4 linked regions of the Arabidopsis thaliana genome follow. The protein of the gene in region 3 purifies or fractionates together with the protein of the main gene of each other region. This does not show direct contact. Each region holds a gene or a part of one and is shown on either strand. Other genes may lie near its edges.

Region 1 (7,217 bases), on a different chromosome or scaffold from region 3:
GAAGGCTCACGTTGTTAGAGAAGAAGCAATCAAGAGGATTAATGCAACAATGATGGAGATCACTTGCCACTCTTGCAAGCAACTATTTCAGCTGCCTGTTACGGCTGATGAGAGTACGTCGTCTCTTGTTATGAGTTACGTTTCCTCGGCGACAACTGAAGGAGAATGCGAGTGATCCAATGCATCTTCATATATATATCCATATGAACAAAAGAAAGCAAATAATGATTTTAAACGAAATGACGGTATTTTTTGTGGATCTGTATGAGTGATCATTTTTTACTATATGCATTGTTTTCTTTTGCCACTGCATATTTCATATAATGACTGTAAATTTTGAGAATCATTTGAATTTCGATTATCATTCTTCTGCTTAGTTTTTTTTTTGTTGTTGTTGTGATAATTGAGGATATTTCATTTTAAATGTTCCTTGATTTAGCATTTAATTTAGTTTTGAACTGGTTTTGGGTAGCTTAATATATTTTAATTAGGATTTTTTCCAGAAAAGAAGAAAAGAAAGAGGAGCGGTAAATTACATATGGTAGTTAAATGGTGTGGGGTTTGGTTGATTGGTTGGTGTAAGTTGTAACTATTTTGATGAAAGAAGCATAATGATAAGGTTTTAGAAAATGTTTTGTTCTCTTAGAACTAGTGGAGAATTCTATACAAAACAAAAATAATGAATGGAGCATTGATTGAGGAGGGGAAGCAGTAGTAATTGCATTAAATTCGAGAGAAAAAAATGATAGAGAGGTCAAATTTTCTGCATACGAATCTCAGGTGGAAATGATTGATGTACACCTAATAAAATATGATCACGAGTCGCTTCTTTCTCTTTCCCATCGTTACATTCTCGTAGTTGTAGCTTAGTCTCAATCCGACCAAACAAGAAATCATCTCTCTCACATAAAGACGGAATCTTGCAAGATGCCATATGAAAAAATATTTTAACCTTTTACACTAAAAAAGGCATATGTATTAGAAAACCAAAAAAAAAAAGTGGTGTCTTAGGCTCCTAGTTTATTGCCTCCAATTACAAAAAAAAATAAAAAATTGGAGATAGTTTTTGTCAAAGTTTCATACACTAGTGACGGATATATAACACATTAGGTTGTTGTTTAATTGACCATATGGTAAGAAAATTGTTTGCATTTGAAAGCTATATACATATCTTAATTAAACACATTGTGAAAGGGACTATATCATCCCTTGTGAGCTTGAAATGGTTAATTAAAGGTTTTGAGTTTAACGTAACAAACACTCTTTTTTGGTTAACATTATTACTATATATAAAAGAATAAGAAGCAGTACAATCTTGGCATATTTACAAGTATGAGAAACCATGTGCTATAAAATGGGAGTAAGAAATTCAAAGATGCCCACCCATCATGAAAAAGCCAAAATCAGTGTCAAAGAGAGTGTGTGGACTGTGGATACATATATTACACAAATGTAATGATGGAAACGCATAGGAGAGAGAGAGAAGAGTAAATGGTGATTTAAGAGCAGAAGTGGTTGTCGTTTCCTTTACAGGAAAAGGAACGACATGAATTTCAGTGCCAAAAAGATTGAAATGGTGGTTAGGAGTCAGGCTTCAGTCTCTCTCACCTGACTCTTCACTCACTTCCATGATTTCCTTCCTTCTCTCCTTTTTCACTTTTCTTACTCCATCCTATTCCTTCTTTAAAGCCACACACTCTCTCTTTCTCATCTCACCTCAATACGTGATCTCCTTGATTTACATTTTTTTTTTTAACAAAATCTTTTTGTTCATTAGGAAAGAAGAAATAAGCAAAAAAATTAAGGATAAAGTATATGGAACTTGTTTTTCCAATCTAACTTACCTAAATTTGTATAGGCAAACTCCGTAAATCCAATAAAAGTCCCATACATGAATTAGGAAACAATTTATCCCGCATTATCTGCGGATAGAAAACAAGAAACAGAAAGTTGATATTTGATTGAGTATATTTAAATGAGAGAATATCGTATTTTCGATTTTATATATATATATATATATATATATATGTAATGTTAAGGAAATATATTAAGACATAATAGTATACTTATACTTGTTTAAAATGAGAGAACCCGTAGTTTATGTATATATTTTTTTTTTATAACAAAAATATGTTAACCAAAATTTAATTAAAAAATATGTTATCAAAATTCATAAAATGTTGAAAATCTACAACTAAACATTTGTTACGTCGGAGTTGGAAGTATCGCCTTTCCGTTTAATCTTTTACCAAAATCTCCGGTGGGTTCTATTTTGTTCAACCGCATTCGCCTCATAGTATCTTCAACCCCTTTCGTAGAAAACTGCTTCTATCCCTAACATCACAACTCTAAGCTCACCTAGTCAAACGCAATAGTTTCGGATTGCTAAAAAACAAACAAAAAAACAAAAAACAAGAAATTATCAAAAGAGATGGACGACGTGTGAACGTTGTTGGACTGCTCTCAAGCCCATGGACCACAATAATTTTAAAGACAAGAAGAAAAACTTGCTTTAAATTATCATACGCATGCCAATTAATTCGGTCCCAACACCATCTATAAATCTGTAAAAAGTAAGCAAATTGAGTAAGAAATTCCATAATGTGGCTGAATAAGAAAAACAAGGTTTTCAAGATTGATTTGCCAATATTAGGATAGGGGGTTCTTGAAGATAAGTTGATATTCTACAAAACATGTAAAGCAAGCAAAACTTTGACTTAAAACATTTGAATGCAAACCATGTGCCACAATATAAAATCCATGTGATAGTGATGATATTAAGAAAAATTTAAAGGGTGGAGTCAAAATCTTGGCTTCCTAAGAGGTTTCAACGTCTGAGAGATCTTCTCGGTAAAGCTCTGACAGATCTTCTCTGTAAAGCTCAAAGTCACTAGGGCTCCATCTGCAGAGCAAGTTCAGCTTGAAAGTAGCCATCTTCATTCGCAATAGACGCTGCAAAGTAAACAAACAAGTATAAGAAATAAAGCATACAAATTAAAAGGAAAGGGTTTTGGTATACAGAAGTCTTATTACCAAAATGTGGGCTGATTTTGGCGAAAGTTGTTTTCCTTCTTCACAAACTACAAAGTCAGCGACCAACTCCACAGTACCTACATATTAAAATAAGAAGAAGAAATAAGTTTTTGGATTAATATAGATAGCAAAAGTGAGTATGAGAAAGAGGAATATTAAGATGGTGAGACGACAGACCTTTGTTTAGTCGTACAGGCATTTCAAGCTTCCGAAGAAGTGGTTCCATCTCATGTGTGAACTGTTCTAGAGGACCTTCCTTCAGTTCAACCTAATCATTTAGGTGGTACCAATATAGTAATTAAGATAAAAGTAACGAAACAAAGTTTTTTAAATAACAAAGAGAAGCAGAGCCTGATCATAGTCAAGCTTATTTATTTATCTAGAAACAACAGTATATAGAGATGGCACAAGTTCTGTTCACAAACCGTTTCTACTGCAATGCTTCCGGTCCTTGAAAAGTCGGAATCCTCATAAGCGTTAAATAAGCTGCAATACACAACCAGAAGAAGTATTGTGAACAGTTACAACAACTAGACATGTATACAATTCAAACCCGTCACTGTTGTTTCACCAAAGCAAAAGAGGAAAAAAGAGGACGTCAAGAGATACATAGATAGATACCTTTCGACTTCTTCCTTTGGCATATCAGTAACAAGAAGTCCAGTATCACCACGAAGCAGCTGAAACAACATTCCACAACATATGTAAATCTAACTGACAAAAAATGACCATTTAACATAAAAGAACCATTGTAAGAAGCAGAATACACAAACCTTGGAGACTTTGTAGATACCAGAACGGAGTTCATCTTCTGCAGAACGACCAAGAGCAACCTGCATCACTTTGTTCGAACCTAGGAAGAACCTAGACAAATAAGAACCGAGTCAGTCATAACATTCAAGTAATTCTAACATCAACCAGAAGAAGGACAAAGAAACTAACTTTCCATTGTGCCTAAACTGCTGCCTAAACTCCTTGAATTTGATATTTCTCATGTTTTCAAAAGAGAAAACATAGACAGAGGAATATTTTTCAACAGCCTCCCTAATTCCATTCACAATACACTCCTTATGCTCTCTTCCTTTCTTCTTCGTCTTAGACAAAGTCACTGCAGCAAAAAATCAGAAAACAAAACCCTTAGATAAACCATTCATCAATCGATTCAACCATAGAAGCTATGAAAAAACATTACTAACTCCAACAAGTTAAAGTTTTTTTCAAAAGGGTTCCTCTAAAAACCTAACAAAACCCTAAAACCCTTGACGGCGGCTACAAAAGTTACAGCTTCCAAAACCAGTGACAGAGATACAATGGTTCAGACAATAGAGAGCAGAAAGAGTGAAGGAAGAAGAGTTCTAACCTGGTCTATCTCGCTTTGATTTAGGCATAGCTGAGGTTTCAAATGTTGTATGGAAGTGAGAGGAACGAAAGTGAAGGAGAACGGCTTCTGTTTATTAAGCTCCTTTCAATTTTCTTCAGGGAAACTGAAACCCTTGTTCCCTTGTTTGCTTTAATTCGCACTTTTTAATCTGGACCCCTAATTCAACCCGATCCGGATCCGGCCCGTTTCAGGCCTTTTAGCTATCAGAAATCTGGGCCGATTTTTTTTTGTCATTGGAGGGTGTACTAGTTTAAATTTAAATGGATTATAGTGTTTTTAGTTTTTTTTGTTTTGTTGTGCAAAAGTTTTTAAGTTAAGAAATTAAAGTTTTAAATTTAATGTTATAAAAATTAATTAAAAAGTGGTACTTTCAAAATCATATTATTAAACCTCTTAATAATGAATTATAAATTATTTATATGAATGCTCGGAAATTAAACAATGTAAACGTATAGGGAACAATAGGAACAACCATTAGTAGTGAGTAGTGATCTCACTACTGGCAATTTGTTCGAGACTAAGGGGATGGGTCCACTCATTTGTAGAAGTCCTCAACCCTTCTCATGCTCGTAGTAGTCGCCGTGGCTTGTGTTTTGTTCTTGGACGAGAAGTTTATTTGGGAAGGTAAAAGACAATTTATTTATTAAGATTTGATAATATTTATAAGCATACACTATATTATTGTTTTCAAATTGAAGTGTACTTGAAGCAATATATTTATTTTTATTTTTACTAGGAGCAATATTGATTGTATGTGGGCTATATATATGTCGTGCTATATGGCGAAAAGATCAAGAGATGAGTGGAATTAGTTCCGTCGGGGGAATTAAAAAAACACACAAAAATCGCTCGAGATTGTTATAGCTAGTGGTATTGATAGTGGCTCGATCTATGGCATAAAAGAAAATGATGGAAAATATATGACATTCAATTGGGGTATCATAACGTTCTCTAGAGGTTTTTTTGTGTGTGAAATTTTAATTGGGTCAGTATGAATATAACTTTTTTTCTTTCTCATTCTTATAATATGTATGTATGAATTGATACTTGGTTTTCACTTTTGGTCGTATCATCTTTATGCAAGTCACATGAAAGAGAGCAGAAGAATGGAAAGAGAATCCAAGCCCAAAACTTCCACATTTGGATCTTTACCAAGTGTATTTGGCTTTACGTACGCATGTTGCTTACTGACAATAATGATATACGAGCCTTTTTCTTTCTTTTGGAGTTCTTGTGTGTGGCAAAGCCATCGCGGAAAAGCCACAAAGCATGCTTAGCACGTGTCAACGTCAACCTAATATGTTACTTTTATTTATATCTTGTTTAACTTCACAATTATGTTTTAATAAATGTTAATAGCACCGAGCATGTTTCTGCATTGTCATTTTGGCTCATATAGTAAAACGCATTACCGTTCGTATAAGAATGTGTGGCATCGATGTAAATGTATAATAGTTTTCTTGTCATGTTATAACAAATGCTTTTGCAAAAAAAAAAGATTCTTTTGCAGTGAAACGCTCTTGAAAGCTTGTGGAGCTCCTTTCATAGAACGACAATAAACAGTTTCGTCTTATTTTTGCATTACGTCTTCACTTTGTATTCTGTTTTCCCTTTGATCATGAATATACATTTCAACACATAAACTCTTTTGTTTTTCTTTTCTTTTGTCTACAAGAAGGTTAATCCTTCCAAACTTTGCTACTTTAGTAACGAGTTTCCAGAAACAAATATTTGAATCTCACATCTTCCTATATCATGAGCTAGGAGGATTGGACAGTTAATACAATTGAAGTGGAGCACAATGAAAAAGGTATAGAGGTAGAATTAAAGACGAAAACACCTTGGCTACATAAATAGAGCTGATCATGAGCTAACAGGATTGGATAGTTAATAGTTAGAGACTTAGAGTGGGTATCAAAGTAGAAATCAGAAACTGTGGGGCGAAATCAGAGAAATGTGGGGAGAAATGAAGAGTGTAGTTGCAATGGTGGCGGTTCAGTTTATCTTCGCCGGGATGTTCATTTTGTTTAAGATAACGGTCGACGATGGTACGAATCTCAAAGTTCTTGTAGCGTATCGTCTGTCCTTTGCTACTATTTTCATGCTTCCCCTTGCCCTCATCTTCCAAAGGTTTCCTACTCTTTTTCTTACATTTTTATTTTTATCAGTGTGCATTTTTTAATGTATAACCTTATCTATATATGCACATATTCTTCAAATAACCCCAACTTCACCAAGTTATTTGTGTGTATTTGTATTCACTTATTACTCAATGTTAGTTTATTTTAATTATAATGTTTTGTTTTGGATTTCTTATAATCAGGAAGAAGCGGCCAGAATTTACATGGAGGCTGCTCTTACTAGCATTTGTTTCGGGGTTGCTCGGGTACTCAGAACTAGTACAATATCACTTTTCAGCTACATGATTTTATTTATTTATCTATTGATGGCAAGAATATACTGAAATATAATCCTAAATTCCATAGATAAAACAGTGTTGCAATGTGTAAGTTTGAATATATGATGAATGTTGGACTTACCAAATTGCAAATAAATCCTAAATCCTTAGCACCCATGGAATTATCGTTGATTTTTTTAGGTTTTTGACTATCATGCAGAGCGGCGATACCAAATATTCTCTACTTGCCGGGTATGGCTCGAACATCAGCGACATTTTCAGCTGCAAGCAGCATAATTAGCCCATTGATCACCTTGGTGTTGGGTTTGGTGTTTAGGTTAGTAGACACGCGTATCATCAATTTTGTCTTCATTACATGAAATTATGTGTTTCAGTTTTTTTTCA
Region 2 (9,872 bases), about 15 Mb from region 3:
CTGTTTGGCCCCAACATCACCCCAACCGTAAACGGGACGAGTACTATACTCCCAACGAGCAGATTTCACAGTTTCCGCATAGTCAGTACTGACAAAACAAGTCAAGTCAGATTTAAACACAGAAATTTTCAACAAAAATACTCAATATCCAATATTTATAATATAGTGAATTCTTGTTGTGCATAGAATCATATAATTACCGGCCATCATCGCAAATGTGACCTTGATGCCAAAATGGAGTAGCTTGGAACCCTTCGGACACTCTTCTGTTAAATTCCTACAATAAAACGACATGCTTTACAAATCAACATCCAAGAGAATAGCAAGAGTAACAAAAACTTGAGATTTTCTACAAGGAGAAGTAGAACACTATCCGGATACAATTGGAAAACTATTTAACAGATAACAAAGTAACCAACAAGGGAGGAGTGAGAACCTCTGGTGGAACCTCCTTGTTTGGAGCCTTTGCGCCTGGCACAGCACTAAAAGTATTCCCCAAAACTAGCTCATGTCGATCTATGCATGAGTAAAAACTTTAGGTAAGCAATCTTTAAAGTCATATATACAAATTCATGTTGAGAAAGCACCAGAACCAAAATGTAACAAAATTCAGATAAGACTTAGATCTTTAACAACAATAACGAACATTAGTACTAGAAGTAGAGAAAAGACTCAGATATGATTTCTTATTGTCATGACACAGCATTTTAAGGGTCAAGGAGTTACCTCCCCAGAAATTGTGAGAGTCTTGTTCGTATTGGCATAAATATTTATCATTAGCGCCAAGAATCTGAGCTCCAACACCAGTGAATCTAGGTCCATATAGAGCCACTTCCAATGGTGACAAACTCTGCCGAAATGCAGGATTCTCCACAGAATACATAAAACAAAAACTCTCCCTCTTCTCTGGGATGGAAACCCTGAAATACCATCCCTCGAAGAACTTCCGAGGTGTTCCATCGAAATGGTATCTGCATTTTTCAAAAGTTAAACAATAAGTTATCAACCATAAAAAAAAAAACTCTCTGATGTTAAATTGCATTTTTCAAAAACTCAAATTCAAAAGTAGTCGTCGAATGGTGAGCCACCAAATGAATAAAAATAAAATCTTACAACTTTGTAATACTCAAAACATACTGAAGCATTTAAAGGAGCAATTTTTTAAGTCCCACTGATCGTAAGAAGAACATATAAATTAAAAGACGAAACTGAAATTGGAGCTTAATAAAACAAACAAGAGAAGAGAAATGGAATGGAATGGATCAATTTACCCACTGTGAGGAGTCCGGAGTTCGCGATTGGGAGACGTCGGGACGTAAACAGGTTTAACGGAGATCTTGTCAGTTTCACTATTCGGGGTGGAGATCGACGCCGAAACCCTAGAAATGGAGCGGGGAACTAGTTTAGTCGATCGGAACGGAACTAGTGAGCGAGTGAGAGGAGATACAGGGCGAGAGAGCTCAAAGGAAGATAAATTAGGGTTCATAGAAACAATCAAGCTCCGTATCTCCATAATGGAAGAAGAAGAAGAAATATGCAAAAGAATGTGAAATTGTGTGTTTGGTGTTGGTGGTGACAAACTCTGTGAAGAATGCAGAGAGGAAGAAGAAAAGGACGAGAACGTGTGGCGGTAAGTAGTTACGTGGCAAACCCCAAACGTAACGTATTTTTATTTTGTTAAATTAACAATTTCTCGTGTCTTGTTTTCAGTAATTTACGGAAATTTATTAGAGACAACATTTCACAAACAGACGTGAGGAGAATCTCTACAATTTTAATTGAAATCGTATTTTGAGATTTTTTTCCCTTTTAAAATATTTACAAAAATTCTGAAGAGAGCTGAAAAGAAAACAAAATAGAATACGTCAACAGCAGGATTCGAACCTGCGCGGGCAAAGCCCAATTGATTTCGAGTCAATCTCCTTAACCACTCGGACATATTGACAATTTTGTTAGACAGACTCTTATACAAATTAATATATGCACGATCCAAAAGACTGATGATGATGAATGGACTAGATTTACTCTTCTTCATTTGTCTCTTGTTTCTTTCTGTTAGACTAGATTTCAAAAACCCAAACGAATGGCAGGTTTTTCTTGTTTACGACGAGCAACATAAGAACTAACAACAGTCGCAAACAAAACAAATCCTTCCTTTCTACTTTTTCGGTAATTGACATCATTGAGTCGAAAGAGATTATATAATGCAAGCATAGTTTGACATTTTGATGTCTCCATTGACTATGGAATTAGGGTTGCAATCATATACAAAGAACATAAACTGTCCTTTTGGCAAATTTAAGAACCATAACTCTCATCCAATTGATATCAAACTTTATTGCCAATGGATATAACAAATAAAAGGTCTGAAAATACAAATGAGAGATTAAAATGTCCTAAAATAGAATCTCGAGACAAACCCCAAATCGCTGAGTTCTCAACAAAAGATTTTCCAGTTTTCTTTTCTCTACAAGAAATATACAAACCCATAACCAACGGTAAATTATAAGGAAGAACATAACACATATGTATATCTATGTTATCTCCCAAGAGGGTAATAAAATCAATGATGAAAAAAGCTTAACAAAGAGAAGAAAGAGAGTTAGCTGAGGAGGATAGAGGAGATGAATACTGGTAAATGATGAATGGATGGAGGAATTTTCACATGGTACCAGCTCTTCCGGAAGTCGGTTTTGTAGGCTTGAATTTGGAGATGTCCACAAGATCCCCAAATAGCTTGTCCTCTGGTTTATTCTTAGGTTTCATTGGAGGCAGATAAGATGTGGTAGATGATGATGATGCTACCTGATGCGATGTCTGGTCTCTCATGGATAAACCGTACATTTGCTGGTCCAGATATGGGCTGCTTCCTTGTTGCTGTTGATTATAGCCATATCCGTATCCTCCCATCTGGTTTCCATACGCCTGTTGCTGTTGTTGTTGCTGTAGCTGTTGCTGTTGGGCATAGTACTGAGCCATCATCATCTGCTGCTGCTGTTGTTGCTGTGGTTGATAGCCTGACCCAAGAGCCTGATTTGGTTGGTTTGGCATGTACACGCCGTTTTGTGGAATTTGAGGATATGGACTGATGTTGGCAACTGCTTGACCTGTTTGGGGCATTTGAGCATATGGACTGTTATTGTTGACTGGTGGCCCGGTTTGGGGAATTTGAGGATATGGATTGTTGTTGTTAACTGGTTGAGCATGTGTGAAGGCAGTCTGAGTTGGATGCATTCCAGGAGAAAACGGACTTCCTGACTCCGCAGAGGGACTATAGTCTTGGAGCTGAGCTTCCCATGGGGGAGGTGGAAATGCCGTACTGTCTTGGGCACCTTCTTTATATTACAAGATTACCATAAAAACAGAACAATTAATGATTAGACATGAGACACAATTGAAGCTGATTCTTCTGAATCCAAAAGAAGGAAATTCTTTCTCCTTGTTGCCATAACCAGAGAAACATTGGCATACTGCAATCTAATCTCCAGATGTGTGAAAAACAAAAACTGTTTATATATATTACCATAAGATGGCTGGACTGGTTGCTGTGCAGGCTGACTGCTCCAGGGAGAAGAGACTCCTTGCCCGTATGATGGCTGCTCAAACTGCGAATAACCCACTTGAGGCGCAAATCCATTGGATTGTTGTAATCCAGCTTCTCCAGCTTGACTATTTGGTTGTTGGTGCCCTTGAGGATTCAAAGGAATATTCTGAGCTGGATTGCCACTTGGTGCAGTTGCAGGACTTGGATTATTAGTATTATCTGAGAACATGTCGATAAGGGCGAGTGCATTTTGATCTGATGCAACCGGACTTGCTGGCTGAGGAGGTCCAACAGGAACAAGGGCAAGATCATCGCCACTGAGGAGGTCTATTTTGGAATTGGCTGAACCATTAGTTACAGGTGGTGCAGGGAGGGCCAACTGATTTAGAACCCCGTTACCAGAGCTCGATGTAGCTCTGTGAAAACGTTGGACAGTATAAATCAATAGCTATGTTATAAGACAAAAAAAAAACTTTTACAAGGTCACTTGGCCTGAAACCCCAGTTCTTACTTGGTTAAGAGACAAATTAACACCGTTTATATTAAAATGATTATAAAGTTACTCCCAGATTCATAAGTAACTTTTCGTTTTCACATCCTAGATTGTAATAGTTTGGACGTGCAAGCCATATATCGAGCTCAAGATTGCAGCTAGGATCGGTAACCCATATCCAAAAATAGGTGATTTTATCCAACATTCTTGGGTGCATAACAGTCAAGTTTGGTAGAACGTACCCGTTCGCCTGATTACTGCTGTCCCCTGTATCAATAAGTGGACCATCAACATCAACAAGGGATTTTCCTGTCTCGGACTTGGGCTTCTCGATCTGAGAAGAAGTTCCAGGTAATCCAGAAGCAATTGCTTCATAATTGGTTAAGACACGCTGCAAGTCATCATTCAAAGCCAGACCTTGACATAACAAAGACTCGTCCCTGAAAAACAAAGTTGCGAGGTAAAGAAGAGTACAAAGAAACATAAGGTCTGAAGCATAATAGCAATTCTAACTGTATTATTCCACACGATACTATCTGAAACGTGAAGTAAGTAGCAGCATTAACTCAGACAAGTACGGATTTCAGATAATTCTTAATGAAGTCCTCTCCCCACCCTCGTCCATAATAAACCAAAACCCACACAAAACACGAATCATTTCCTGCTGAATCTAGTGGTACTATGTATGCATATTAGAAGATGAGAATAAAAAAAAAAATCGTCTCGTACCCCAAGAAATATAACTTATATGAGACATGAAAGAGATAATCAAATGGAACCGAAGAGGAAAATAAAGAGCTCTTACGAAGTCGAGTTGACGAGGTGCACCACTCTTTGTTTGTATGTACGACACTGCTCCACCAGATCGACCATAACCTCTTGTTTGAGATCCTGAATAAATCCAAAAACGAGAAGAATGATCATTATTTAGTATATTTTGGGCTATAGCCTACACTTGTAAACAGGTAGCTCAAACACTCTGCAACTAAATCGTGTTACCTCCTTGTTTCCGGGCTCTAATGCACTCAGCATCTCCGCAAGCACATCCATGATACCTTTTGCATTTTGAATCTCCGACAAACTGAAAAAGAATTTGACATACAGCAGAATAAAATTTTGAGAAGCAATAAATACTGAGCAACAAAGGCATACATATACGTCCTAAACAAAGCAAGCAAACAGACACAAAGTTAAAACTAGCAGACCCTAGTGAACATGCCTATTAAGTCTTACAAGAAAAAATTGAAACTCCGTTACTGCAAATGCGTGCATTTTTCAAAAGCTAGAAGGCTTTTGCTTAAGTGTGATTATTTTCTTGATTCCTCTTTACTTCGATTCATCCTATATATAGGCTTCCAACTAGGGAAGGACGTTGAACAAAAAGTAGCTAAACATATATTACGACAATTTGTTAGATATAGCAAGGACGTTGAAATTTTCCCAACAAAATATTGTATGCTTTTGTTAAAAATTTATGAACTTAAAACTGCGGAGTTGCAACAGAAGATATCTACCTTAGAGTCGGAAATTCTGGCTCTGCTGAAGGTTCAGGCACATCATTACCAGGTCCAGCGTTACGAAGATTTGGAGGGTAAGATGTCAAAGGCTGTGTTTGAGGAGGTGTGAACACAGGAGCTGATCTCTCTGATCTCTGAGGGAAAACAGCACCAGCACGCTGAAAGGGACATGAGTCACTGGTGGTTAGGCAAGAGTAGTAGAAGATTTTCTAACAGAACTCACAAAAGGATCTAAGAAGAATTCATTATGAGATGTAATAAAATTTCAGTATGAGACATCTGGACACCCAGAATCAGAAACACTACTCTACTGAAGGAAAAAAAAATGAAACCCAAAATAAGTATATCAAACAACTAAATTATGTAGACATACCAACAATTCCTGGTATCCTGCATAGTATTGTGGATATCTTGCCCTAGGGCCACCAAAGGCCTCTTGCCATGTATCGATAAGGACCAGAATCTTCTCTTTGACATGGAAGTCCGGCTATATGCATCAGACCAATTAGGATTAGAGAGGCAGAGCAAGGGAGAGAGAAAGAGAGACCAATTTGGAAGAACCATTACCTTCTTCTTAACTATCCGGACCATCTCATGAATAACACCTTTCTCAGCCACATGCATATGAACCATGTCACCACAGTTCTTCACTATTGTCTCAAGCAGCTAGAACATAACAAAAAGCATGACGATGAGTGAATAACTATCATTGCAAAACAAACAAGAAAGATGAAAAAACGTGAAAATAATTATCAGCATATCATTCTTGTTAGAAAACTTGTAAGTCATTAAAATCCTCATCATGTACATTAGTATCATGAACAAGTAATCTCTGATCATGTCAACTTCCACTAATAAAAGAGGTTTGTGAAACAAACACGCTATCCAAATGCACCGTTTCAGAAACAACAGTGGCTATTTCAATGAAGTAGCCATCAAGGAAAATAAAAAGGAGAGACAGTTATCTAGGAGCTCACAGTTAAGGCAAGAAGCTGAGCTTTTGGATTCCTGCTACCAATCCGTTTTTTAATGCCTTTCACAACATCTTTTGCTTGCCTACAAAACAGGAACCAGTTTCAGACATCACATAGTATTGGTGCAGTTAGTACACACACTGAAATCTCCTTCTTCCAATCACAAAGCATATAAAGAAAATAACTTGAGAGCTTCTACAATTAAAGCCCTATGAAAGATGACTAAATTGAGCAAAACAGTAGGCCACAAGTATTCCAATTGGTCCTAGAAAACATGGAAATATCTAACTCTGGTAAAGAAACGAAATTTGATTTCCATCTTACTGTTAACTCTCTCTCTCTCTCTCTCACTGAACCAAAAATCCAAATCCGTATAGAGAGTTACAATAGTTTACAGGAGACTAATCGAGAAGTATAGAAAACAAAAGGTAGAGAGAGAGAGAGAGATAACAACAAAAACAAAATCGGAGGGAGCAGAGGGAAACATACGCTGGATCGCTATTGAGCATATCACAGATCTCGAGGTTCATAGCCCAATCAGGCCCGATCAGCATCTCGCTCGTCGCTCTCTCCACCATAGCGTTCACCATCTTCGCTTTGACCCCCAAACAGAAAAACAATTAACCTCCGATTGAAAGAGAGAGACGAATTTTGAAACCAACGAATCAGGCGAAGACGAATTAAGCAGCCGGTAAGATCACGCAAAGAGATTACTCCGGCGAAGAATCTCTCGCTCAGGAATTCACGCCCTTCTCTCTTTCTACTAGAAATCTTTTTTTTTTCCTTTTCTTTTCTTTTTCTCTAATTGTTAATTTTCAGAATTTGTTTTTTAAAAATGTATTTTCTGTACTTCAGATCATTTTTTATTTTCCACGAAATAGCAAAAAAGGAAATAAGTCGAATATCTTCTGGAAAAGGGTCCACTAAAAGATTGCCACGTGTTCATATCGTTGTGTTTGGATAGTTACACCAATTCAGTCAGGTCATTGCTTTCCATCGGACCGTTGCTTTTGACCCACCTATAAATCCGACGGTCATCGTTTCACTAACAGTAAATGTTAGTTATTAGTATTATTATTTTTTCGTTTTTGGGAGCTAAATATAATAATGTTATCCAATCTAAATGAATGAATTAGATTTAGATGGAACATTACAGTTTGATGATTGGTCGATTCTCAACAGCTTACAATGTTTTCTTTTTAATGATCGAAACAAAGTATTTGCAAAACAAAACTAACCAGCGATTACGATTGCGATTGCACACGTATGCAATTAATTATGAGTGTCATTTGATAACGCTATGAAACCGTTAAATCCACATCTTTACAAAATTCATCATAAAGAAAACATTTTGGTCTTATGAAAGTCGTGATTGGTGTGATACAAACCTAAACCAACTTGCTACACATCTATTTACTCTCTATTCTATTCTATTGAGTTCTCGTTTCTTTATCACTTTCTGTGTTGGATGTATTCACCCACTTGCAAAAAATAATTTAGATTTATAGACATCAAAATTGCATAAGAGTGTTAGTTCTAACTTCATCAGTTGAATTAATTAGGACTCTATAGCTAAGCATATTCTAATTCTATGATTATGATAATAATTGAGCGGGAAGTGGGGATAGATTCGAACTTTAACAAACTATTGGGGGTCAAACTGTAATTACACAGAAGTTATCAAAGCAAGTACCTTTACACGCGCCTAATTGTTTCTGCATCACTAATACTTCTTCCTCATTTCCCCAGTTCGGTGTTCATTGATTTAGGGTTCCTGATAAACTTCGGAAACCCCTATTTTGAATTGTTTCGGAATTATCTGGTGAGAAGGGTCTAATTCGATTGTGGATTAGTTTTTTTTTTGTGTTTCTTCAATGGCGATCATTGGAGATGCGTTGCGTCAAGCGTTTATGCCAAAGCAAGAGTACGAGAGCCTTAGGGAAGAAGATAGAGCCTGGATTAAGCTTCAGAGGCCGACTTTAGTCTCGATCGTGGCTTTCCTTTGTTTTGTCATCTTCACTTGCACGATCGTCAGCTTGAAAATTGTATTTCCTTCGAATGTTCTTAAGAGGCCATTTTGCAGCGACATAAAGCTACAACCTTTGCCTATCTATGGCAAAGCTCGTGACTCCGATCTCTTTCCCGGTGCTTTTTACTTGACCGATCAAGAAACTGTTGATTATTACTGGATGGTCGTTTTCGTTCCCTCGACTATAATTTTCCTTGTATCATCTGTTTATCTTGTAGCAGGTGAGCGTCAAGTCTCTAGCTTTTGTTCTTCGTTATTTCATATCTACAGAGCTGGGTTTGCATTTGTGTTTTGTTGGCTGATTTCATTAGATGATGCTCAGTTCTGAGTGGCTTTACGCTAGATATTGATGCTTAGCAAATTTCTGGCAAAATGGCTTCTGAATTTTTCGATTGGTGAGGTGAAATATTGTCAGAGAGGGTTGATTGATTGATGTGTCCTCAAAATCTGAATGCTCGTTGTTATGTTTAGTTCTAGAATCACTCGTTTTGATTGAAGCCACTATATAAAGACAGGTCTGATGATGGTTCAGGTTTATTGGGATTTTAGGGGGTTAGCCATAGAGCAAGCTGTGGAGTTTGCTAAATCCAGTTAATTCCTCTGCTAGATTTTGTTGGATTTGAATTTTATATGGATGTAACTTAGTGGAGCTGATTTATTTCCTTTATTGCTTTCTGCCTCCACATGGCAGCCCTTCTAAGTTTTACAGGTGTGGTATGTCTGCTGCTTATTATTCTCGCTATTTTGTTGCAATACTGCAGGAATTTTTGTGGCTTATTCCGCTCCTCACCGTCATGGGTTTCTAAAAGTCGTTGAAAATAACTACTGTGCTTCAAGAAGAGGTATACTCTCTTCTCTCTTTAATATGTATTCAGCTTTCCATATTTGTTCTTTGTATATCCATGCATTCGTGTAATAGATTCATTCCTTTTCAGTGCCAGACTTTATCTTATAAATTTTTATGTGTAATTCTATTTCATCTGCTAGTAATTACTATGTTTCTACCTTTGAGAATCTGGGCTCTTCAGAGTTTATCACTAAGCTTGGACCTCAAAATAGGTTATTGATCTTCTTTATCATGTCCAATAAATTCACAGGTGGGGTCCGTTGTCTGTCAATTCTGAATGTTGTGTTTGCTATCATCTATGGTCTCCTTGCTATATTTCTCGGCTCAAGCCTCCTCACATTAGGAAGCAGCTGTTCTGTGCCTTTGTTTTGGTGCTACGAGATTTCTTCATGGGGTTTAGTAATCTTGTATGCTGGAACTGCTTTCTCCCTTAGAAGAAGAGCTGCTTTAACTATTGACGAAGGAGAG
Region 3 (7,183 bases):
ACTCTTTTACATGTAATGCTTGTGGGCTGAAGGGAGATCGAAGCCCTTACATATGTGTTCAATGTAATTTCATCATCCACCAAGAGTGTCTTACCCTTCCACGCCTTATAAACATAAATCGGCATGATCACCGTGTTGCTCGCACTAATCTTCTGGGTCTTGTATATTCTGTGTGTGGAGTTTGTCGCCAAAAAGTGGATTGGACTTGGGGAGGTTATTCTTGTCAAAGGTGTTCTAACTATGTCGTTCATTCCAAATGTGCTACAAGAAAAGATGTGTGGAACGGGAAAGAACTCGAAGGAGTTATTGAAGAAACAGAAGATATAGAGCCGTATGTGGTAATAGATGACAACACAATACAACATTTCAGCCACGAAGAGCATTACCTAAAACTCGACGACAATGGTGTTTTATGTGATGAAAACAAGCGGTGCAGCGCATGCACCCATTCCGTTTGCCTCGAATCCTTCTATGGTTGTATGGATTGTGACTTCATTCTTCACCAAAACTGTGCTAAATTTCCTAAAAGGAAACGACATGTGCTACACAATGAACGGCTTACTTTATTTACACGCGAGGCTGGTCACTTTTGGTGTAATGTTTGTGGTAGAATCTCCAATGGTTTCAGTTACCAATATGGGGATATGAAATTAGATGTCATATGTTGTTCAGTGTTGGAGCCATTTGTCCATCCAAGTCATCCCGATCATCCCTTATATTACATTTCACCAGAGATGGAAGAAGTCTGCAATGGTTGTAACATGTCGGGAACTAGAATGCTCAGGTGCATTGAAGATGGTTGTGGATTTGTCTTATGCTTCAAATGCGCCACTTTACCGCGAGTGTTAAAGCATAGAGTTGACGATTATCCTCTCTTACTATGCTATGGCGAAAAGGCAAATGGTATATATTGGTGTGAGATTTGTGAGAAAAAAATGAATCCAGAGAAATGGTTCTACACATGTAAAGATCAATGGGCTAGTTTGCACACAGAGTGTGTAGTCGGAGACTTTTCAGGGCTCATGCCAGGAAGCGTAGTAAAGGCTGAGACGGGATCATATGAGGTTGTGCTCAACAAGAATGTATCTCGCCCGTTTTGCAGGCAGTGTAAGTCGCATTGCATGTACCCTATCATCTATAAGATACCTGAAACCTCAGTTTCTTATCTTTGCTCTGATATTTGCATAAAGCGTTTTACAAAGAGAGACTGATGATGTTTAGTTTTGGGCTTTGTGTGTCACACACGTTTTTCTGTGTTCAAGAAATTATTAGGGTCGTTTGAATATTTTTCCTTTATTTTTCGTTAAGGTTTTCCGTTGAATCCTGGTCCAAGGAGGAATCGAGTCTTTGAGTATAAATAGAGTTGTATCGAGTATTTGTTCTTCAGTCTTTTGTTTTAAGAAAATCAATAAAAAAACAAAAAGAGGTAACCCTAGTTACCCAAAGAGCTTGTGTTTGCATAGCACTGAGAGGAGTACTCTCGGCTCATTGTTCTAGTTCAAGAGGACGATCATCGTCTTGCACGAGTGTCACAAAATTTTGTTTAACATGAGCCTCAAAACAACTTGTCACGAGTTTCTCTATGAGTTTATATGTCTAGGTTTGCTAATCTAAAGTGTGTGAAGCCAACGCATTCGTTTTTGTTTTATTTTTTTCTCCCTTGCACAAAAAGATCATTTTCAATTTTTCATTATGAGTTGATTACTTGATTTCCTTCATGTGTTATTGAATTTGGAGGACTAGTGATTCTTGTAGTGATTATCACATTTTCCCACTAGGTAGTTTAGTGTCAGTTTATTTCTTAACTATAGTGATTTTAACCATTTACGGTTTACACAAAATACTTCTACAGATTTGGTAAAACGATTGGAAAAGAGAATTCAACTAGAAAAAAGAGAGGGTTACTGTTTGTTACAAACAAGACAAGCTGTTTTTCATTCTAAATTGTTGGCATATGACTAAAACAAAATATTCTTAAGAATTAAAAGAACAATCATGATCAAACAGAGTACAAGGAGTATAGTTGCACATTTCACCATTGCTCCTTCTCTTTGTGTTCTCTCCGCCTATTTAAAAATTGAAATGTCTTTGTGAGTTCCATACGGTGAAAAATCTGTAGTACTCACAAAATCTTATGAGTTTTGGGTAAAGAATCAAACCTTTTGTAGTTGTTTATAGCCTTCCTCGACCGATGTAGAAACGTTTTGGACATTGTAGTCTATCCGATCAACAATCGTGCCCTAATTGATACAAGAATATAAGAAAACTAATTGTTGAGAAGCCAGCAAAAACTTTGTATCTAGCCAGTTATGTAATTCATAAGCCTTTTAATGACTAAGCTAGGCACCTGGTCAATCACAAGGGCTGATAAGTCTTTCATTATCTGTGCAAGGTCATTCACGGAACCCAGAACCTAGACAGAACTCTGAAGTTAATCGCCATCGAAAATGTGAAGCACGCAGCTTCTTAAATATGGTCGAGTAACAACTTCCATTACCTGTTGTATCTCTCGTTCCCTTTCCGCTGAGACATGTTGCCCTTCCTTCAACTTGATTGTCTGGTGTTCATCGAAACCCTACAATTTATTGAAGACCAGCGATTCTCATTATGGTATTGGCAGAGTAAGGACGACAAGGTTCTGAAGATTGATTAAAAAAAATCTGACTCGTCCTAGCATGATAACCATAAGAAGTGTTTCTTAAAAATGTAAGGAAGACAAGGATAACTGATTAAAAATCTGAATTGCTCTAGCTAGATAACCATATTAAGTCCTTATTAATTTGTCAATGATATATAGTTTTACAATACAAGTAAGCACTTACCATCCCACCAAGTTCATCCTCTTCATCCAGTCTCGACATCTTTCCATTCACATTAAACTCTAAATCTACTTCATCCTGACCCTATGATTAGAGAAGCCAAATACAAATAAGAACATCATATTACGGTACATGCATGTCTCAAGAATCAACACTTTTTTTGTTTATTTCTTGAAAATAAAGGAAACATACCTCTTTCTGCTGCTGCAGACGTTTTAAGTAAGTAGACTGTTTTCTGCGGAGCTCCATGGAAAGGTTCTGAAGATCTGTTGCAAGAGAACGCTGTCAAAAGCAGTATGCCAAAAAGTAGGTCAAGTCCATTGGAGAGCCCCACTATACATGTACACAGAACTTTATCCTCATGCTACAAACTCAAAACATAGAATAACCCAAAGTACATTATATAGAGGGAAAAAAAAACACTTCATACATTTTGCTGACTGATAATGTCAACTAGATAGGTAGTCAAAACATATGAGAGTGATTTAACCCAAAATTCCTAACTTTCTTCTCTAAAAGCACAAAAGAAAAGGTAATGACCATGCATTCTTTATTGTTAACAAGCTCGATTCTGAAAAAGTGTCCAACAACCTACCTGCACATTTTTCCTGAGATTTGATTCTTCAGAAGGCCCTCTAGTAGATAACATCTGCAATCTCTTTTCTGACTTCCTCAACAAATCTGTGATCTCATGAGTGAGCATCTCGACTTCACGATGAATCCCTTTGTTATCTCCAAATGTAGGCATAAGAGCCTTTGAATGTGCCTTTGCTAGTTCATTCATTTTGTCTCGCACCTTTTGTATATTAAAAGTTATCTCCTCAGAATCATCAACCCAAGCTGGTGGCATACCAATTGTGAAGGCATCACTACTGCAAACATTCACAACAACACTTAAATCATTTGCTCATTCTGTTACCTAATTCGTTTAGGGTTCTAATTCTGTATCTCAAATCAATCCCATGATTACAATTCGTTTCTATATATAAGTTCATAGAATTTCCCAGGTTTTGCAGAATCAAACAACACATTATATTATTACCTTGATGGACCAGGATCATAGGAATTCAAAGGAGCATAAGAGGAGTGATTGGACCGGGAAAATGAACCGCTAACCATTTCGATCACCGGACCACCGAACGAATCAGACGCCGATAAAGATAATGGAGCACGCGCGCTCTTACACGCATCCCTGTGTTTCCGGTACACCGTCGTTCGATTCCTCGTCGCCATCAATACCAAATCAATTGATTCTCAACAGAATCTCGAAAGTAAAATTTCCCGGAGAAAATAAACAAAATCGGAGCTTTTGTCGTCGGCAAAAGCAAACGAATCTGAATCGCAAAATCGTTTCTCATTAGCGCGTGTTACAGACTTAGCAACGAAGGAGAAGTATTTGGGCCTTTTTAGGCCCATTTATATATTGGGCTTATAGTCCACTTGCGCGATAGGGTCAATATAAGTGTGTGGAGCACACGTTTTAAGACGGTGGCGCAAAGACGAAAATGCCCGTAGATTCGTGGCGGCTAAAAGTCAACAGAGGGACGTTGGTGGTTCAGGGTAAAAGAGGCTATAGTGACCGGTTAGGGGTAGTTTGGTCATTGGATTTAGCTCAATAGATTCGTGTCCATGGATTCCCTCATGTCGCCAGAGAAAAAGACCACATTTAAAGGTCTTGCCTTTTTGGTGTGTTTCCTCGCACTTTCAGGCTGAACAAAGTACTGACAGATGCTAATAAATACACGGAGGAAGAATATGCTCCTTTAATTATTATCTGAGATTTTTCAATTCAAGTTCGTGTGGATTCAGAATCAAAATGGAAGAAGATTTGTTGGGCATTTGTGGGTTTGATTCGTCGAAGAAATATCGATTAGAAGAACTTGCCAAGTATCAGTCGGGTTAGTGTAAAGATCCATTCTTTTTCCCAATTGCATTTAGCTTTGTTTTAGGGTTTATGCTTTATATGCAGGTGGTTTTAATTTCTTTATCAAATTTCAATTCTTTTGGCCCTTAAGGTCTAGTGAGTTTAAATTTTGTCACTTTATGGGTAAACTTTATGTTATGTAATTGATAAAAGTTTTGTGATGGTGAAATTTTTGTTTAGGTTCATGTATTGAGTTTGAAGATGATGATGAAATGGCAGTGGATTATCCATGCCCGTTTTGCTCAGATGATTATGATTTAGTTGAATTGTGTCACCATATCGATGAGGAGCATCAACTAGACGCCAACAATGGGGTAATTGCAACTCGTATCCATCTCCCAAATCAGTTACTGTTCTTTAAACTATACATTTGAGTTTTTACATGAAGCAGTTAGTTGTAAATTTAGACTATTTATCGTGTGATGTTCATTGTTGTACTCTAATGGTTACTTTAGTAGGCAGGATTGTGATTCTGTAAGGAGAGTTGGTAGGGACTTCTTGGATTTTAGTTCACTTGGATTATTTGCTTGATGCTATGAGGAACCATTTTGTAGTTGTGAAGTGTTTGGTGTGAGAAATGAAAACAGTCTTTTGGTGATGATGAATGTAATAACTTCTCACAAATTCAGCTTTGGTTGTGATGTAGATATGTCCGGTTTGTAGCAGACGAGTGAAGATGCATATGGTTGATCACATTACCACTCAGCATAGAGATGTCTTCAAGGTATCCTTTTTTATTTACTCTTCTTGCTTTCGTTACCATTTAGTAGAAAACTTGTAAGTCTTTTTGTGCTTATTCTATATCTTGGTATGTTTTATATCGGTTATCTGACATTTGTGTTCCTTGACGAATACTTACCTTGAACAAAAGCAGAGACTTTACAAGGATGAGTCATATTCAGCATTTTCTCCAGGGACTAGGAAATACTTACAGTCTCTAATCGATGAGCCGTTGTCTACTAATCATACATCTAAAAGTGTTCTGGACCCATTATTATCATTTATATACAATCCGCCGTCACCAAAGAAGTCCAAGCTTGTACAACCTGATTCATCTAGTGAAGCAAGCATGGAAGACAATAGCTTAATAAGGGATTCAACAGAAAAGTAAGTAATTCTTTGACATTTTCTTGATTCTGCTTGCTTTATCTCATCTTCTTAAACCTTGTCTAAAGATACATTTCGTATTTCTGTGTGCTCAGAGACTGGGAATCGCCGTCTCCCTTGTCAGATACAGAGCTACTAGAGAAGGCAAAGAAGAGAGAGTTTGTACAAGGTTTAATATCATCAGCCATATTTGATCACATTTACAACTTCTAAGAGCATAAGTCTTTGTATATGAAACTCTCGCAAAGTAGTCTGTACTCTGTAGTATAAGCCAATGAGCTTCTGTTTATCGTCAAACTTCTACTTTGCTTCTTTACAGCTCATAATCCTCAAGTCACTTGAGGTCGGAGTTTCCTTAACAACCACTTCTTGCGTAGTTTCACATCTAGAGCCAAGAAAGTTTTCGCCTTGAGTTTATCTTCAAGCAGATCACAAGCATCCAATATAAGTTCATCGTCCATGTCTGGTAACGCTTGAATAGCCTCAACCGTGTCCTCTATTGACATGGTTTGGGTTTCATCAACTCGAGGCTTTTTCGGGTTTATAGGGCTTGTATCAGTATTAGCAAGTTGATCTCTTTTGTTCTTGGGGTCAAACAAAAGAGAGTTGCTATCTTCTTCCTCAGCTGAAATAGACAAATCTGTAGTACCACTGGACTTAAATTCTTGGAATTCAGTTTCAGGGTCAAACCAATCCATAGCTACAAAGCATTCGTTTTCTTCGATCCCAGAATCGCCACAGAGCACACACAGATCTTTATAGTACGGAATTGGCCGAGTCATAAATTGCCTTGCATCTCTATGAGCCTGTGATTAATTCAGACAAGAACACACATCAAAACAGAGACGAAAACACTGTAACTAACCACACAGCATAGATCAGAGCGATTAAGTTACCTTTATATAGTCTTGCCATACATTATTATCAGCTGTAACCATTTGACGCTCATTATCCCAAGCAAACCCATCTGATCGAAGAATACTCTTGATCGCGTTGAACTGTCTTCTCAGAGACTTATACCGGTTCTTCAACACATCAACATCAAAGTTAGACTCAAATTTCGCATTGAAGAGATTAACCATCTCAGTCCATGCTTGTTTCCTGAAAACACCTTCAATCTGGTTTCCTCTCCTCGCTTGGTCCAACATCAGATCAATGAAATACCGGTCCATTGGAGGATGCCAAGTAGTCCTGCACCGTGTGACACTGCTTCCTTTTGAGTTAGACCTGACTGTTGACGATTCACATATTCTGTTGTACCCATCATCTTCCTGAATCAGTGTCTTGGATTCTCCCTCACTAATACTCTCCTCAGCTGAAACATACATATTCA
Region 4 (6,828 bases), on a different chromosome or scaffold from region 3:
ATACATGTTCTGTTTGTAATTATCAAGCCAGTAGCCAAAATATTGTATAGAAGACACTAGCAAATATCGTATCAAAAAAAGATAGTATAAGCCGGTAAATCATCTAGATACTTTTAAGAGGACGAAATATTACCTCTGGAATTTGTCGGTCAATAACAGATTCAACAGCAACAACCATAGCATGCACAAAGTCATTGCCACCAGTCCCAATTGCAGTAAACCCTCTTTCTGTTGGGTATGTATTGACCTGGCAAGTAAAACACCAGCTTTGAGTCAGCCAATATCCATCTCCTTCTTAAATTTCACATACTGAATGCATTCCAAATCGACAAGGGGCTTCATAAATACCAACACATAGTATTTGAACGCAAAGTGAACAGCAACTCTACTAGAAATTGACCAAACAAGAATAAAATATCGGAATGGGATACCTTTTGGTCAAGTTCGAGCCAATCTTTAGCAGAATCATCAGCCACAGTGCCTCCAATAATCATGTTAGTAGTTTTCCCAACCCTCCCATCAGTCTTTGACACTTCTGCATCCCACCAGCAAAATGAATGAAACAAGGGAAACAAAAGTACCAATAAACTAGCACTCGTGAATTAACATCATCTGTCTCTTTCACCATTCCAGCTTAATTAGTAACTCTAAAATAATCTAAATTCCTAGTGAATCACTACAAGTGTAGGAAGAGTTAAATTGACACAACGGAACAGTTTTTAACTTCCGACTAATGGCCGGGAAATACTAGTACGTCAATCGAATCTAAAAACTCCGTCTCCTATTCACCAAGGATCCAAGCATCCGATAATCAAATCCATTTCGGCCAAACGAACAAAACCACAAAAATTTGAGATACTAGGAAGAAATTAACGAAGGCGCGCACCTGAGATTGCCTTGAGAACAGCTTCTTGAGGCGGACCTTGATCGGATTGATCGTTATGGCTGCAATTAAGCCGAGTAGCCCGCTCGGGAACAGATGCAAAACCATTGAAACATAGACTCTTTGGCGCCGGGAACAAACCATGGACTGGAACTGATGCTGGAGAAGGAGGGAGAAAGAAGCATCTACGTGCGCCGGAAGTCCGTCGTGATTCCGATACGAAAACGGAACGCAAAATCGTTTTGCAAGCCATTTTTTGAAGCTTCTCTTTGGAGATGAGTCGAACGAAAAAAAGACACAACGCTGCGTTTGGTTATTTATAAAATTTCTGGCGTTGGCGAGGGATAAGGTAAAGACAGTTATGCCCATAGGTTTTTGTCTTCTGTTACCATTCGCTTTGGGGTTATTAGAGTCTTTCACTAGGCCCATTTGTGCAAGCATTTTAATTAAAGTTAGCAAGTGAATCTAATCTAATCATTTTAATCAAAGTTAGCAAGTGAATCGCACACGAAATCATCTTAAAGCGTGTTTAGTTAAGAGTATGTATTAAAGTACGTAACAAAAAGTACATAGCATATAGTTGAGAATACAGAATTGTTGCAACGGGAAATTTTCTCCTACCTTCTTTAGAGTTTCACTTCTCATAGGTTATTCTTACAGGAAGTTTCAGCATCTTTCTGTAAATAAGAAACTCATAGACATCGTGCAACACAGATAAGAAGAAACCAAAAACCGATATGAAGAGACAAAACATCCTAATAATAAAGTAAACAAATAAATTTGTTGGTACTATAGTCACAAACGGTTACTCTTCAACTTGGTACCAGGAAATGTAACTAGGTGTTTCAGTGTGCAGGCATTATTTCTTACGGAATGCTCATCACTACTATGGCTTTAGGCTTTATCTGGCAGGAGGTGGAGGGCCAAGGGATTTTGCCATGCCAACCCAAGCAACAATCCCACAAGCGAGAATTATCCAACCGCATACATCATAAGTGAATTCAGTGTTCCTCTTCTTCTTCTTACTACTCTGCTGCAAAAGCAAGGCAATTTCTCAGAGCAACCACGAAAACTTATAACCCACATATGATATGAGATTCTTTCACTCTCTGCTTATGTTCTTCTGAACATGCTGCTACTAGATAATAAGAAGATGACACTTTTCAAAACATTGGACAGCATACTTAAACACATGATAACTTACGCTAACATTAGATGAAGCCATTCCTCCTCCACCTCCTCCTCCTCCTCCACCTAGTATTTGCTGTCCCATTCCTTGATTCATAAACTGCATATGCAGTTCCGGGGCCTATTCACATAGACAGACAAAAACATGAGCTCAAATGTAAAAGAAATACAGAAGAAGAAGATGGAATAAAATGTTCTCTCCTTGTTATTATAACAGCAGCAATTGTCTCCATGATTAATGTTATAATTTGCGTACACAAAGATTGACTCTGAAAATGGAATGTTGAAATAATACCTTTAGTGAGGAATCCAAGGACTTGCGATATGTGTCATTACCTGGATCCTGAAATAATATAATAGTAAGAAGTTGGTCTCACAGCACTCACAACAACATAAAAGTTTCAAATTCAAAAGCATAAAATCTGAAAATGCACCTCATTTTCTGCTCTCTGGAAATATTCAGTGGCTTTATCAAAGTGCTCTTTTGCTTCTTCAGGATCGTGAACATAAAACGCGTGGGCGGTGTACGCGTTGGCAATACACCAAAGAGCCTGATGCTTCCCTGGATTTATTGTCAAGGCCTCTTCCAACTTGGAAATAGCATCTACATGATCAATAATATTTCGTTACATTTCAGAGCAAAGATGAATTTGAGGCGTTTATTTTAAGACATTAAAGAAGAGATCATACCATTTAACATGAGCTTAGCTTCAGGAATAGGCTGGAACTGTGAAAGTTCAAGTAAAGCTCCACCCCATTTCAGCAGATTCTACAGAAAATAAAAATGTTCGCAAAGGTATTCTTAATATGACCACATATCAAAAGAAACTCAGGAAAAAATGTAATTTCAGAGAAACATATAATCAATCTCATAACATAAATTATAATATTTCCATCGAATTCAAGACCTAAACTACACATAGTGACAATACATTCACGAAATCCATCTCCACAAAACATCCTTAATATTCGTTACATATCAGGTCCGATCATATTAATCGAAATGAAGCAATTTCACAAATTCTGAGGAGAGGGGAGGACAAGTAGAAGAAAGAAACCTCGGAATCAAGAGGATCGTTCTTGTACTGAGCCTCAGAATTTTTGCGAGCATGTTCGAACATGATAAGCCTTTCAAAGTCGGCGGTAGAGAACTCCATCTTCAGATTCAGGTGAAAGAAAATCTAGGGTTCGGTGTTTTTGTTACTGAGAAAAGTCTAAAGAGTTGTCTCGATGTGAAACAAGTTCCGAGGGTTTTAGCCTACAAGTCGGGTGTTACCAGCACATAATTGGGCTTTTTAAGCCTACTTATCAAGATAAGTGGCCCAGAAGGCCCATATGAACAAATAGTACTTTAATACACTAGTTCAACTAATGTATTCGCCGATTAGGGTTTCTTCTGTTTCACTATATATTAAGTGTCTCCAACTACTGAGATCTCTATCCTCTCCGTCCTCTGTTCTTCTCATTGGCCGCCATGGTAAATGCGTTACACTAGACTCGTCGTTACAACGTTTTCACTTCTAACTTATGCTCCTATACTTATGTTCTTCGTCTTCTTATTGTTTTTCTTCAGGTGAAGTACTCTCAAGAGCCCGATAATATCACCAAATGTAAGAACACTTTCATAGTCTCTGTTATTTTTTGCTTCAAGCTACACTGTTATTGGCTTACCTCAAGCTATGCAATGAGTATTCATTGAAATGGTTTCGATTGGTTTTGCGTTTGCAGCTTGCAAGGCGAGAGGAGCCGATCTCAGGGTCCACTTCAAGGTAAATTTCTTGTACTGATTCCGGATCTCAAAAATGAATTAGATTAAGTGATTTTCCTATGGGGATTAAGCTTGTAGTTTGAATAAAACCTGATTAACAAAAAGCAGGGTTCTGTTTTATATAACAGACCTCACGTAAATGTCAGGAAAATCGAATTGGTCATTGTGAATGGGTGAGCCAATGTTACTTCTAATAGCATATGGTTCAGTACATGATGGTACATTTTAGCTTAGCTCTGAATCCTTTTTCAATTTTCAGTATTGTTGATTAGGTCATGATTGTAGTATCTGGGTTTGTATAGATGTAGTCGTTCAATAATTTGCAATACACCAAATCATTTACATTAGGTTTGAGGTGCTAAATGTTACTGTGCCATTAGGTAAATAATCACACTGAACAGTATTGTTGTCATTCTAGTTTCATTGTTGATGATTTGGATGTGTCTAATTGTGTTTTTGAATTGAATTTGTATGAAACAGAACACTAGAGAAACAGCGCACGCCATAAGGAAGCTACCATTGAACAAGGCCAAAAGGTACTTGGAAGATGTCATAGCTCACAAGCAAGCTATCCCCTTCACCCGTTTCTGTCGTGGTGTTGGTCGTACCGCTCAGGCAAAGAACAGGCATTCGAACGGACAAGGTCGCTGGCCTGCTAAATCTGCTCAATTCGTTCTTGATCTTCTCAAGAATGCTGAGAGCAATGCTGAGGTTGGTTTTACGACTCTTTTTGTTTTGTTGCCATGGTGATTTTAGTTAGTTACTAAAACTTTTTGTAAACCATTTGGTTATCAGGTCAAAGGTTTGGATGTCGATGCCCTTTTCATTTCTCACATCCAAGTGAACCAAGCAGCAAAACAGAGGAGAAGGACATATCGTGCTCATGGAAGAATCAATCGTATGTCTTCTTTTCTATTCGACTGTTTTTACAACGTTTGTTTCTTCATTCACATTGTGCTGACTCTCGATTTAATTCTATCTTATGCAGCTTACATGTCAAACCCATGCCACATTGAGTTGATTTTGTCAGAGAAAGAAGAGCCTGTGAAGAAAGAGGTAATTTAATGATCCCAACGCCTCTCTGAATATCTTCAAATACTTATATTTCATCTTCATCACTGATCTCACATAATTTTTGTTGGGTTCTTGCACAGCCGGAGACACAGTTGGCAGCAAAGTCAAAGAAAGGAGCCTCATCTTAAGCTATAACATAGACAGTCTATTTGTGCTCACTTGTGTTACCCTTAATACTTTTTGTTAGCTTCTCTCTATAAGACCAATACTCAATTTTTAAGTATGATGATTATCGGTTTTTGGATTGCTGAAAGAATCTCTCTTTATCCTTGGTATTGATAGATGAATAACTCATAGTAAAATCTTGAAATATGTTTTAGAGATGGATTAGTTAAGACTTGTTAAATCGTCGCCCAGTTTGTTCATAACGCTCATTAATATAATGACCAATACATCGACTACACAGTCTGATAAAACGGATGGATTAGTTTTGAACTCGAGAAAGTTCGAAATGTTATGTTACGTAAGAGCAAGTAACACTTTCATTCGTTTGTAAAACCCAAAACAGACCCAATCATAAATCATCATAAACGGCCCAAAAGACGGAAGGAATCATCGTCACTAAGTGGGCAAACAAAAATGGTGAAACTGCAAAACACCTGCAATTTCAATTTTCAAGGAATCCGAAATGGAGAGTGGTCTGATATCAGTGGATCGATGGAGAAATGGAAGTCAAGCCTACTTCTTGACTCATATACACTCCGATCACACTCGTGGCCTCTCCGGCGGATGGTCCCAAGGTCCTCTCTACTGTTCCCGCACCACCGCCTCTCTATTTCCCTCCCGTTTCCCAGGTTTCGACCTCTCCTTGCTTCGCGTCGTCCCTCTCTTTTCCTGGACATCTCTCTCCCTCCGCTCTCCTTCCTCCGGCTCCACAGTCCGCCTCCATCTCATGGCCATCGATGCTCACCACTGTCCTGGTATGATAAAAGTCTAATCTATTTCTATATAAGGCTTCGCTTTCTCAGTGGTGAAATTTGAATTTGCTGGTATAATGTGGTAGGATCCATAATGTTTTTGTTCCGGGGAGATTTCGGATGTTTTCTCTACACTGGAGACTTCCGGTGGGATTCTGATGCATCAGACGAAGCTAGAACCACTCTCGTTGCTGCTATTGACGAGTTTCCAGTCGACATTCTCTATCTGGATAACACTTACTGCAATCCAATTTACAGTTTTCCTTCCCGTCTAGTCGCTGTTCAATTGGTTCGACCTAAACCCTAATCCAAAAGCCTTAAACCCTGAATCATGTTTCTCTTTGTTATATTCCTCATCTCCTTTACTTGCAGGTTGCTGATATAATTGCTTCTCATCCTTCACATGATATCATCATAGCAGTTGACTCTTTGGGAAAAGAAGACCTCCTTGTTCATGTTTCCCGCATTCTCAATATCAAGGTTTCTTATAGTAATCCTCTGCTTCCTTCATCATACTCCAAATGGATTAAGAGTTGAGTTTCTTTTCTTTGTATGTCCTTTAGATTTGGGTTTGGCCAGAACGTCTTCGTACCATGCATCTCCTTGGTTTCCAAGACATTTTCACTACTGATACATCTCTTACAAGAGTGCGGGCTGTCCCTCGTTATAGTTTTAGTATTCAGACTCTCGAGGGGCTGAATACGATGTGCCCAACTATCGGTATCATGCCTTCAGGTCTCCCATGGGTGAAAAGACCTTTCAAAGGAGATGACAAGCTCTCTGGTTCTTTTCTTACTGCAAGTATGAAGAATGAAACCGTTTCTGCGAAGAAAGAATTAGAAGCAGCTGCAGTGCATAAGTTCCATGACTATATGTACTCGGTGCACTACTCTGATCATTCATGTTATGAGGAGATTGGAGAGTTTATAAAACTTGTGAAACCAAAGAGCATGAAAGGAATTGTGGTGTCATCATCATCGTATGTTGACCCTCTTTAC

Evidence for each region.
Region 1: the proteins of SYP42 (region 3) and AT1G25260 purify together in Arabidopsis thaliana (affinity purification with mass spectrometry, with the first as the bait; one large-scale study listed by BioGRID). This does not show direct contact.
Region 2: the proteins of SYP42 (region 3) and AT4G32760 purify together in Arabidopsis thaliana (affinity purification with mass spectrometry, with the first as the bait; one large-scale study listed by BioGRID). This does not show direct contact.
Region 4: the proteins of SYP42 (region 3) and AT1G27400 purify together in Arabidopsis thaliana (affinity purification with mass spectrometry, with the first as the bait; one large-scale study listed by BioGRID). This does not show direct contact.

What each region holds. Positions count from the first base shown.
Region 1 is NC_003070.9:8,851,346-8,858,562, forward strand, and holds AT1G25260 (Ribosomal protein L10 family protein), read right to left. Parts: upstream 4,530-7,217; 5' UTR 4,422-4,529; coding exon 4,394-4,421; intron 4,142-4,393; coding exon 3,976-4,141; intron 3,898-3,975; coding exon 3,807-3,897; intron 3,714-3,806; coding exon 3,655-3,713; intron 3,520-3,654; coding exon 3,459-3,519; intron 3,302-3,458; coding exon 3,211-3,301; intron 3,111-3,210; coding exon 3,034-3,110; intron 2,953-3,033; coding exon 2,818-2,952; 3' UTR 2,189-2,817; downstream 1-2,188. Other genes in the region: IDD16 (indeterminate(ID)-domain 16), read left to right, coding at 1-175; UMAMIT24 (nodulin MtN21 /EamA-like transporter family protein), read left to right, coding at 6,381-6,544, 6,738-6,800, 7,033-7,149.
Region 2 is NC_003075.7:15,796,622-15,806,493, reverse strand, and holds AT4G32760 (ENTH/VHS/GAT family protein), read right to left. Parts: upstream 7,418-9,872; 5' UTR 7,119-7,417; coding exon 7,018-7,118; intron 6,611-7,017; coding exon 6,532-6,610; intron 6,221-6,531; coding exon 6,122-6,220; intron 6,042-6,121; coding exon 5,928-6,041; intron 5,713-5,927; coding exon 5,552-5,712; intron 5,119-5,551; coding exon 5,037-5,118; intron 4,929-5,036; coding exon 4,843-4,928; intron 4,478-4,842; coding exon 4,280-4,477; intron 3,961-4,279; coding exon 3,524-3,960; coding exon of another isoform or gene 3,378-3,523; exon of another isoform or gene 3,336-3,377; coding exon 2,662-3,335; 3' UTR 2,295-2,661; downstream 1-2,294. Other genes in the region: VTE1 (tocopherol cyclase, chloroplast / vitamin E deficient 1 (VTE1) / sucrose export defective 1 (SXD1)), read right to left, coding at 1-88, 201-277, 437-516, 727-971, 1,272-1,513; AT4G32750 (uncharacterized protein), read left to right, coding at 8,403-8,778, 9,319-9,399, 9,655-9,872. UniProt on the Arabidopsis thaliana protein: Might contribute to the loading of the ESCRT machinery.
Region 3 is NC_003075.7:968,141-975,323, forward strand, and holds SYP42 (syntaxin of plants 42), read right to left. Parts: upstream 4,203-7,183; 5' UTR 4,053-4,202; coding exon 3,862-4,052; intron 3,692-3,861; coding exon 3,415-3,691; intron 3,102-3,414; coding exon 3,012-3,101; intron 2,904-3,011; coding exon 2,823-2,903; intron 2,576-2,822; coding exon 2,498-2,575; intron 2,414-2,497; coding exon 2,348-2,413; intron 2,241-2,347; coding exon 2,160-2,240; intron 2,067-2,159; coding exon 1,959-2,066; 3' UTR 1,854-1,958; downstream 1-1,853. Other genes in the region: AT4G02190 (Cysteine/Histidine-rich C1 domain family protein), read left to right, coding at 1-1,211; AT4G02200 (Drought-responsive family protein), read left to right, coding at 4,636-4,717, 4,924-5,057, 5,119-5,160, 5,390-5,467, 5,618-5,850, 5,946-6,063; AT4G02210 (Myb/SANT-like DNA-binding domain protein), read right to left, coding at 6,180-6,656, 6,747-7,165. UniProt on the Arabidopsis thaliana protein: Contributes to the regulation of secretory and vacuolar transport pathways in the post-Golgi network, and to the maintenance of the Golgi apparatus and trans-Golgi network (TGN) morphologies.
Region 4 is NC_003070.9:9,511,685-9,518,512, forward strand, and holds AT1G27400 (Ribosomal protein L22p/L17e family protein), read left to right. Parts: upstream 1-3,429; 5' UTR 3,430-3,545; coding exon 3,546-3,548; intron 3,549-3,644; coding exon 3,645-3,681; intron 3,682-3,799; coding exon 3,800-3,840; intron 3,841-3,943; exon of another isoform or gene 3,944-4,066; intron 4,067-4,319; coding exon 4,320-4,550; intron 4,551-4,634; coding exon 4,635-4,737; intron 4,738-4,827; coding exon 4,828-4,895; intron 4,896-4,993; coding exon 4,994-5,041; 3' UTR 5,042-5,386; downstream 5,387-6,828. Other genes in the region: AT1G27385 (phosphoribosylformylglycinamidine synthase), read right to left, coding at 134-247, 432-532, 887-1,136; TOM20-2 (translocase outer membrane 20-2), read right to left, coding at 1,785-1,916, 2,088-2,192, 2,367-2,414, 2,506-2,675, 2,762-2,840, 3,130-3,228; AT1G27410 (DNA repair metallo-beta-lactamase family protein), read left to right, coding at 5,542-5,833, 5,917-6,119, 6,203-6,310, 6,394-6,828.